Saccharomyces cerevisiae S288C: one gene and its partners. The gene in region 2 interacts genetically with the main gene of each other region. Each region holds a gene or a part of one and is shown on either strand. Other genes may lie near its edges.

Region 1 (3,759 bases), on a different chromosome or scaffold from region 2:
TAAACTTAAAATTCACTAGTATAAACAACGTTGCACTACCGAAATTATTTTTCACCAAGAAAGCATACAAGATTTACTTTATTATTCTAGTCACTGGACTCTTGTTAGGAATAAAGACCTTCAACGACGCTGCTCAGCACCGCTGCATGGCCCTTGTCGAGTGTGTCGCCTTTTTGTGGGCTAGTGAGGCCATCCCATTACACATTACAGCATTCCTTGTACCACTACTTGTAGTCCTTTTCAAAGTCCTAAAAACCTCCGACGGGGCTATAATGAGTGCTGCAAGCGCTTCATCAGAAATTTTGGCCGCCATGTGGTCTTCTACAATTATGATTCTGCTGGCAGGTTTTACTTTGGGTGAAGTACTTGCACAATATAACATCGCCAAAGTTCTTGCCTCGTGGTTGTTGGCCTTCGCTGGTTGTAAACCCAGAAACGTTCTTTTAATGGCAATGTGTGTCGTGTTCTTCCTATCAATGTGGATTTCCAATGTCGCAGCACCTGTTCTAACATATTCGTTGTTATCTCCCCTATTGGATGCCATGGATGCAGATAGCCCATTTGCGCAAGCATTGGTGTTAGGTGTAGCGTTGGCTGCAAATATCGGTGGTATGTCTTCACCAATCTCTTCACCTCAAAACATCATTTCCATGTCGTACTTGAAACCCTATGGTATTGGCTGGGGCCAATTCTTTGCTGTTGCATTGCCATCTGGTATCCTGGCCATGCTTTTGGTTTGGATTTTATTGTTCACTACTTTCAAGATGAATAAGACCAAATTGGAAAAATTTAAGCCTATTAAGACGAAATTCACAGTTAAGCAGTATTATATCATTACTGTCACTGTGGCCACTATTTTGTTGTGGTGTGTGGAAAGCCAGATTGAAGGTGCTTTTGGGTCATCAGGTCAAATTGCAATCATTCCCATCGTTTTGTTTTTTGGTACCGGATTACTATCAACACAAGATTTAAATGCCTTTCCGTGGTCAATCGTTATTTTGGCAATGGGAGGTATTGCTTTGGGGAAGGCCGTCTCATCCTCGGGTTTGCTATCAACCATTGCAAAAGCATTACAAAAGAAAATTGAGAATGATGGTGTTTTTGCCATTCTATGTATTTTCGGTATCCTGATGTTGGTTGTGGGTACTTTCGTCTCGCATACAGTATCCGCTATTATCATCATTCCCTTGGTGCAAGAAGTTGGTGACAAGCTTGGCAACCCCAAAGCTGCTCCTATCCTTGTTTTCGGTTGTGCATTATTGTCATCCTGTGGTATGGGACTAGCTTCTTCGGGGTTCCCCAATGTCACTGCCATCTCTAAAGTAGATAGAAAGGGCGATCGCTATTTAAGTGTCATGACTTTCTTAACGAGAGGTGTTCCAGCTTCTATTTTGGCTTTCCTATGTGTCATTACTCTAGGTTATGGTATCATGGCATCTGTTGTCAAGGGTAACGCAACCTCTGCGTAAGAGATACGTCTACGATAGCATGTAACAGCGTATATATAATCTATATGTATTCGATTAATCCAACACTTCTGTTGTGTAGTCTAATGTTCGAAAAAAAGGTACGCTTCCCTGTTATAATCAGGTATATTTCGTTATTCTTATAAGCTAAAAGATTAAAAATTTTTCCACTTTCCTTGAAATTTGGTCGGTTCGTGGAAAAATATTATTACGTATTGAAGAAGTGCATGAAGATAAAAGATGGGATTACTGGAAAAATAAAGGGAGGAAAATCCTGCAGAACGTTGTTGTTTCAATCGAAGGTTTCTTCATTCGAAAATGGGTTCTTCAGATGTTTCAAGTCGTGAATGTTCATTGGTTTATAATGAAGATCCCGATTTCACCGATGGCACAACACCATGTGATCGGTTGGGAGTGGACTTGATGAATGTTCTAGATGACAAGGATGAAATAAAGCAAGAGTCTGTCCCAGTCTCAGATCGTGAAATTGAGGATACGGAATCCGATGCTTCCGCTGTTTCTTCATTTGCTAGCGCTAATGAGTTAATAGCTGAGCCACACGCTGCAAGTGAAACTAATCTTGGAACTAATGGTCAAGATGGAAGAAATGTCTTAGAACAACAAAGAGACGTGGTTGCTAGACTAATAGAAGAAAACAAGGAAACGCAAAAAGAGGGTGATAAAGTCTGTATTGTCCCCAAGGTTTGGTACGATAAATTTTTCGACCCCGATGTTACCGATCCTGAAGATATAGGCCCTATTAATACACGCATGATTTGCAGAGACTTTGAAAATTTTGTGCTTGAGGATTACAATAGATGTCCGTATCTGTCTATTGCAGAGCCTGTTTTCAATTTTCTATCAGAAATTTACGGCATGACAAGTGGCTCTTACCCAGTGGTAACTAATTTGGTTATCAACCAAACCACAGGGGAGTTAGAGACAGAATACAATAAATGGTTTTTCAGACTACATTACCTGACCGAAAAACAAGACGGGAGGAAAAGGAGGCATGGCCAGGACGATTCAATAATGTACCTCTCGATGTCTGCGTTGAATTTAGTACGTGATTTGGTTGAAAAGAGTATGAATCTGTTTTTTGAGAAAGCTGATCATCTAGACGTGAATGCGGTGGATTTTAAAATTTGGTTTGTGTCAGAGGGATCTGATATTGCCACAGATAGCAATGTTAGTACTTTTTTGAATTCTTCATATGAAATAACTCCGCTTCAATTTCTCGAACTACCGATAAAGAAACTACTAATACCAGACATGTTTGAAAACCGTTTAGACAAGATAACTTCAAATCCGAGTGACCTTGTCATAGAAATTAAACCTATAGAAGGGAATCACCATTGGCCTTCAAACTATTTTGCTTATAATAAACTCGAACCAGCATCAGGTACTACTGGTTTGGTCAATTTGGGAAATACATGTTACATGAATTCTGCGTTGCAATGCCTGGTACACATTCCGCAGTTGCGTGATTATTTCCTTTATGATGGTTATGAAGACGAAATCAATGAAGAAAATCCTCTTGGGTACCACGGCTATGTGGCTAGGGCATTTAGTGACTTGGTTCAGAAGTTGTTTCAAAACAGGATGAGCATAATGCAAAGAAATGCTGCTTTCCCCCCTTCAATGTTCAAATCCACTATCGGGCACTTTAATTCGATGTTTTCTGGTTATATGCAACAGGATTCTCAAGAATTTTTAGCCTTCCTGTTAGACAGTTTACATGAAGATTTGAACAGGATAATAAAGAAAGAATACACAGAAAAACCATCATTATCTCCTGGTGATGACGTGAATGATTGGAATGTAGTCAAGAAACTGGCAGACGATACTTGGGAGATGCATTTAAAGAGAAATTGTTCCGTTATAACGGATTTATTTGTCGGGATGTACAAATCAACGCTATATTGTCCCGAATGTCAAAATGTTTCTATAACGTTTGACCCGTATAATGATGTTACATTGCCGCTTCCGGTTGATACAGTGTGGGATAAAACTATAAAAATTTTTCCCATGAACTCTCCACCACTTCTTCTTGAAGTTGAGTTAAGCAAATCGTCCACTTATATGGACTTGAAGAATTATGTTGGTAAAATGTCGGGCCTAGATCCAAATACACTATTTGGCTGTGAGATTTTCAGTAATCAAATCTATGTTAACTATGAGTCAACAGAGTCGAATGCTCAATTTTTAACCTTGCAGGAATTGATCAAACCTGCTGATGACGTTATTTTTTATGAATTACCAGTAACAAATGACAATGAAGTAATTGTTCCCG
Region 2 (2,880 bases):
AGACCCTTTGGAGAGCTTTTGTGTAATGGAGCGTAACGAAAATATCATACCATACAGAAGTTTTGCATCTTCTTCATTCTGTTTGGAGTTTATTGTACCACTTGCGCTATTGGACGCCAATGTCCATTCTCTATCAAATATACAGTTACAATGCCTATCAAAGATCCAAAATGAATATATCCCCATGCTCCACTGATTTATGATTTATATCAAAAGCAGATTATCTTACGATAGTTCTGTATTTTTTTTTTGTATTTTTTCTGTAATGTATGTTGGAACTCAATTGTCGAAAATATAAGATCCGGAAATTCTTCAACACTAGTCAATAGTAAAGGACAACATTTCGACTGAGGCAAACCAGAATAAAAGTTGGTTGATTTTTTATGAGCCAGCGAGTCTATATAAAATAAAACACTATAAACAGATATAATTCGTAGACATAGAGATAACGCATACCTTATATGCTAGAAATATGAGAGACCTTAGCTTCATATAAGCCTTCATAACTCACCAGCTTCTTCGATAACGATTTCAGCTCTTGGTTTACCAGAAGCAGTACCGTATGATTCGATTGCTTTGACAATGTCCATACCTTTGGTTACCTCACCAAAGACAACGTGTTTTCCATCCAACCATGGACAAGGCACAGTGGTAATGAAGAATTGAGAACCGTTAGTGTTTGGTCCAGCATTTGCCATAGATAACAAACCTGCCTTGTCATGCTTTTTGACAAAATTTTCGTCAGCGAACTTGGAACCGTAAATGGATTTGCCCCCAAAACCGTTAGTCAAATCAGTGTCACCACCTTGGATCATGAAGTCTGGGATGATTCTGTGGAAAGGGACACCTTTATAGCCCCAGCCCTTTTCGCCGGTACATAAGGCTCTGAAATTTTCAGCAGTTTTAGGAACCACATTATCATATAATTCAAATTCTATTCTGCCGATTTTGGTTCCATTGACCGCAGGATCAAAGAACACTTTTTTACCTAGTCTAGAAGCAGAATTGGAGAATAAGCGGGACTGTTGAATGATGGAACGTTTAAACATGGTAAGTAGACCTTTGTAGTTGCTTGCTTTTTTTTTTGTTTCTTTATGGAATTAAATAGGAAAAAAATATTGAGTTTATTAATAATCGCGGTGCGAAAGGACTAAAATAATTCTTATTGGTTATTTTGATAATAACTAAGTACAAAAGTTCAAGCTAAAAAAGCTAACTCAGCTGCCTTTTCAGGTCCCACAAGATGTTTCAGTTCATCTTCACCCTTCAAGAAGGTATGGTCCTCAAAGTCAAAACCTGGTACCACTACTTCACTAATCAAGAAACCGTTGTCAAATTCTTCGTTTGGCAGAAGGAAACTTGCCTTAAACACACCTCCGGGGACAACCCATTGCGAGACTTCTCCATTCTTATAGTCAAAACCAACTTTAAATGACTTCACTTGACCATCAGGATATACTAGAACGTATTGACCCTTGCCTCTTTGTAAGATATGTATGATCCTGTTAATATTCTTATGAAATTTCCCAATTGGGCTGTCGGGGGTTAGTAGATAATAGATCAACGTAGATTGATTTCTTGTTACCATTTCAGTATTACCTGAGCCTCCATTTACTGGTTTTTCTACTTCCATGGTGTAGGGAGACCTATCTGTTTCCTTAAAATACCCACCTTCTCTATGCTTGATTAATTGCCAATCATTGATCAATTGTTGCAAACTACTTGGTGGCTCAGGCATTGGGACTTTAACGAAACTGGCCGGCTCTATAGCTGCATTTGCAGCTTCTTGTACATTGGCTGACATGCTCTCTATGGCGAATTCTGATTGAATATACAAGTGTTCAAATTGAAAGAAGTTTTCTTATGGAGACGGAGTTGAACATTTTCTGTTTGAATTAATATACATACATAAAAACTATACTTAGAGAAAAGAATAGAAAAGGCAAAGAAATATACATGGATTTTATCAGGTTTTAAGCTTTCACGTCCTTCTTTTTATCAGCAGATTCTAATGGCACGTCAGCTTTACGTTTCTTGTTCACGCTTTCATCTATGAGGCCTTGCATAACTCTTTTATCACCTGTGATACCGTTAACAGGCCTAAAATATGGTTGACATCTCCAGTATGGAACAGTTCTATATGAACCACCCCATGATTGCTTTTCGCCGATAGTAATTTCATCCTTAATAGCGATATCTGGCTGTTCAAATATTTCTTGCACTACTTTTTCGACAGGCTTCACTACTTGTTCCTCCCATTCTTCCCACGTGGCTTTTGCATTCATAGTAGCAAGTGTTGACCTAATATCAGTATGATGCGGCAAGAAAGGCCTTAAAATCTTAAAAAAATGTGATTTCATTGCTGTCTTGGAGGCTTTAGATTCCTGGCATTCTTTGACAATCTGGAAATACTCTCTGATAATCTTATCTACGCGTGGAAATATCTTCTCCTTGTTCTTAGTTTGGCCTACATTGAAAACACCAGGATTGTATAAGTTCCCCTCAGCACTCATCACTGCGTCAGCACCGATATGTTCCATACAACGTGAAATATCTTCAGGATATAAGATATTCCCGTTAGCAAAAAACACGGTTTCTTTAGGTAAATTATCTCTTAGGTATTTGATTGTTTCCCAGTTAGCTAAACCAGTTTTTTGTCCTTTTTGCTCTCTTACTCTCCCATGGACGGTTAAAAATTGAGCTCCAGCATCCAGCACCATCTTGGCGTAATTCAAACTCTTTTCACAGTCGTCAAATATACGTATTTTTGCTGTAACTGGAACTTTCAAATTTTTGTGCAAGGTGTTGATTAAATTGTGTATAAGGTCCCATTCTTCCATCAAAAATGACCCATAGTGACCTTTCTTAGCTATGCCTTGA
Region 3 (3,759 bases), on a different chromosome or scaffold from region 2:
TGGAGTAAAGTGTTATCCAGCGGGAGTAACAACAAATTCGGCTGCTGGGGTGGATCCAAATGACTTCAGCGCATTTTACCCAATTTTCAAGGCTATGCAAGAAGAGAACCTGGTATTAAATTTGCATGGGGAAAAACCTTCTGTCCATGATGGAGACAAAGAACCTATTCATGTATTGAATGCAGAGGAAGCCTTTTTGCCAGCCTTGAAAAAATTGCATAATGATTTCCCAAACCTGAAAATAATTCTGGAACACTGCACTAGCGAGTCGGCAATAAAGACAATCGAGGATATAAATAAGAACGTGAAGAAAGCCACTGACGTAAAGGTTGCTGCCACATTAACGGCTCATCACTTATTTTTAACAATTGATGATTGGGCCGGAAATCCGGTAAATTTTTGCAAACCTGTTGCGAAACTTCCAAATGACAAAAAGGCTCTAGTCAAAGCTGCTGTATCAGGGAAACCATATTTTTTCTTTGGATCTGATTCAGCACCTCATCCTGTACAAAATAAGGCCAATTACGAGGGTGTTTGCGCAGGAGTTTACTCACAATCTTTTGCGATCCCTTATATCGCCCAAGTTTTTGAAGAGCAAAATGCCTTGGAGAACTTAAAGGGCTTTGTTTCCGACTTCGGAATTTCCTTTTATGAGGTTAAAGATAGCGAAGTGGCTTCTTCAGATAAGGCAATATTATTCAAAAAAGAACAAGTTATCCCTCAGGTTATCAGCGATGGCAAAGACATAAGCATCATCCCATTTAAAGCAGGTGATAAACTAAGTTGGTCGGTGAGATGGGAACCTCGTTAATATGCAACAATATGTAGGCTCATTTGAGAGTATAGACCATATATACATATTTATGGGAAAAATAAACTTACCTTCCAATAGAAGTTATAGATGCCATCATCATGCCTATTGTTATGGTCCGTATCTCTTTACAGAAGTTCACAGCCAAATGCGTTGATATGGTATATTTTTTCTCTTCAGTTTTTTATCAAAAAATGCCACAACCTTGATTTAATCTTGCATACTAACATCCACATCTTGAGCTTTTTGCTTTTCGTCATTGCTTTCTTCCTCATCACTTTCACTACTATTATTCAGCACTCCAATCATCTTATTGTAAATTTCTTTATCTTTCGCACTCAATTCATTTAAGGGCAAATTACCTGAGTTCTTCTCTTGCAGCCAAAAGAAGTACCTTTCGTTGGATGAAAAAACTAAAGCAAATATTCTGCCACTTTTACTGGATTTTATTGGAACCCACATGGTCTCTCCAGGAATTAAAATCAAAGAAATAGGATCAAGTTCCCTCCCGACCGGCTTTTCCGTTGGACGCCACTCGAAATCCCAAAATCCCAATTCTTCCTCTTCATTTGGTTTGATCTCGATTTCACCCTGAACTGGAATTGGCGTACATAGACGTGAATCTTCGTTGTATTCACAAACACCAGCCCTGAATTTAATTACAGTTGAACTCATACTCATCAACACTCTTTTAAAATTTATAAGTCAACCAGCACTTAGGTAGTTTTCTGGCACCCTTATAGAACCTAATCTACTGGTCATAGTAGAGTATTTAGTAGCAAAGCTTTCGCCACCTCGCGAATAATATATCACGAAATACGGAGGAATTTTAACTGAAATATATCAATAACGCATATCAAGGAGGGGATGACTTGATGAGTTGAAAATAATATAAATGGTTCAAGCAACCGTTTGTACACCACTCAGTCAATTATTGCTTCAATTGAAATTATAGAGGACCGAAGATTAGTCATATAAAACAGGGGTCTTTTTTTCTTTAGGGAGATTACTATTACAATGTCGCAACAGGATTCACAGCGCTGGCTGCCCACGGATCGGCTAATATATGGTGTGCTAGTCAAATCTTTCCTTCCCTTACAAAGGTATCCTGAGCTGGTATATGAAAACAGCAATTATGCGAACGTTTATGTGGGTGCAGAAGTTTACGTCTTCGAAGAATCTGTGGATAAGAAATGGTGTAGAGCGTACCAATGTTTACGACCCTTTCCTGAAGAATTCATATCGAATATGAACTCGGCGAATGATGTACTGCCAGACGTGAAACCGAAAGTAGTGATATTTCCTAGAAAATATGTTCATTTTGAAGCAGAAAAAGCCGTCAGCACAATGCCATTTTTCAAAGCACCTAGTGCTGAGGATTTTAAACCATTGATAAGTAAAGAATGTGAGTCCCGCTCCTTTTGTGACAGCCTATATGTTAGCTCTACTGATGATATATCAACTGGTAAACCAAGAAAGACACCGAGACCTCCGTTCCCCTTTTTCAGATACCAAAAGAGGTCCTTTAAGGACGAAATGGGTCCTATATTATCTCTTATTTCCTCGCATGTTTACTCTATGTATTCAATTGGCGAGTTTTCTATATATAGGAAAATGATAAAACTTTATTATGATTTGGACACTATACGATTTAGATTGTCTATGAATTTAACCACAGAGGCTGAGAAAATAAATCTGATAAGAGCAGCAACATCCCTAAGAACTAAAATCGCAAAATTTTTGTCCTCCACATACAGGAAGAATAAACTAATTGCTAACTCTACTCCAAGAAACCCAGATCCTTATGGTTTCGAAGGAATTTTTGCCAGGGATATTGATACTGGCGAATTGCTCTCATACGAGATCGACAAATTAAGAACTTTAGTGTCATCGTCAATGCTTTGTGGTTTAACTAATAATTTTCCTACTGTACCTGTGGTAGAGTCCGATGATGAGTCCTCATCTAACGGACTATTCGGCACAGTTAGATCGAGCATTTTGGTTAACTTGAAAGATCTGGCATGGGATCCCTCTATATCAGATCCTAAATATCAAGATCTTTCTATTTGTGTATACTTGAGAACCAAAGACGAAGTTTTAACAGAGTCTTTTACCATGACGAAGTCGTCCAATATGGAATCAGCTCTAGATGAAATTCCTGCAATGTTATTCAAGAATATTTTGGAAACGATAGTCCATAAAAATAAAGTATACTTAGTAGTAGTGCTGAAGGAAACAATAGCAATTACAACAGAAACTGCTCCGGAAATTTCATCTTACAATATATCTACCGAAGAGTCAAGTTCACATTCCCCATTTTCTCCATTTAATTCATCGACTGAGAATAAGATTGACCACGTAAAAAAGGGCTTAGCTGCCGGAGTTATTAACATATCTCCGGTATTCAAGTTTTATAACGGCCTATCAGTTGCGAATAAAGCTCAGAGGTTTAACCTTTATCTTTATAGCTCCGATTCCTCGGATTCGCAAAACTTCAACTCTTCAAAGGATGCGGATTTAGGTTGGGGCGGGTTAATAAATAAGATAATAAAAGATTCTTCTGAAGGCGTTTCTGTGAACCCTAGGGCTGTTTCTTTATCGGTAACTGTAAAGGAAATTATAGGCAAACAAGAGGCGGAAAAAGTGCTCTCCACATCTTTAGTACCGATAAGATCTATTCCCACATACTTTTATGATACCATGTTTAGCCAAGCAGAAAGAATTTATCTGAACTTAGGTAGGGTGTCGCTTTATGGACTTCCTGCAGCTGATACAAATATAGAAAATGTTACCGTTCAAATATCCTGCAGGAATAAGGCCGTAAAATTTTGCAAAAATAAGCTCGAAGAGAGATCTGGGGACTGGAAGTTTGTTTCAGTTCGTCCAAATGAGAGCATAGGCGAATCGATTAGAATAGAAGGGGTAGAGAACATGAACGAAGACGAGAC

Evidence for each region.
Region 1: mutations in CPR3 (region 2) and UBP12 together harm fitness less than expected from each alone (positive genetic interaction), as found in Saccharomyces cerevisiae (one large-scale study listed by BioGRID).
Region 3: mutations in CPR3 (region 2) and DCK1 together harm fitness less than expected from each alone (positive genetic interaction), as found in Saccharomyces cerevisiae (one large-scale study listed by BioGRID).

What each region holds. Positions count from the first base shown.
Region 1 is NC_001142.9:62,021-65,779, forward strand, and holds the start of UBP12 (putative ubiquitin-specific protease UBP12), read left to right. Parts: upstream 1-1,784; coding exon 1,785-3,759. Other genes in the region: PHO90 (SPX domain-containing inorganic phosphate transporter), read left to right, coding at 1-1,469. UniProt on the Saccharomyces cerevisiae protein: Ubiquitin carboxyl-terminal hydrolase that recognizes ubiquitin chains that stabilize FZO1 and promote mitochondrial fusion. UBP12 deubiquitylates FZO1 only after oligomerization.
Region 2 is NC_001145.3:109,171-112,050, reverse strand, and holds CPR3 (peptidylprolyl isomerase CPR3), read right to left. Parts: upstream 1,050-2,880; coding exon 501-1,049; downstream 1-500. Other genes in the region: TRAPP subunit BET5, read right to left, coding at 1-186; CFF1 (Cff1p), read right to left, coding at 1,199-1,804; DUS1 (tRNA dihydrouridine synthase), read right to left, coding at 1,974-2,880. UniProt on the Saccharomyces cerevisiae protein: PPIases accelerate the folding of proteins. It catalyzes the cis-trans isomerization of proline imidic peptide bonds in oligopeptides. This isozyme is required for growth on lactate at high temperature.
Region 3 is NC_001144.5:964,069-967,827, forward strand, and holds the start of DCK1 (guanine nucleotide exchange factor DCK1), read left to right. Parts: upstream 1-1,828; coding exon 1,829-3,759. Other genes in the region: URA4 (dihydroorotase), read left to right, coding at 1-811; proteasome regulatory particle lid subunit RPN13, read right to left, coding at 1,022-1,492. UniProt on the Saccharomyces cerevisiae protein: Forms a transiant heterodimeric complex with LMO1, that acts as a guanine nucleotide exchange factor exchange factor (GEF) for the small GTPase RHO5. DCK1, LMO1 and RHO5 relocate to mitochondria upon oxidative stress and trigger cell death.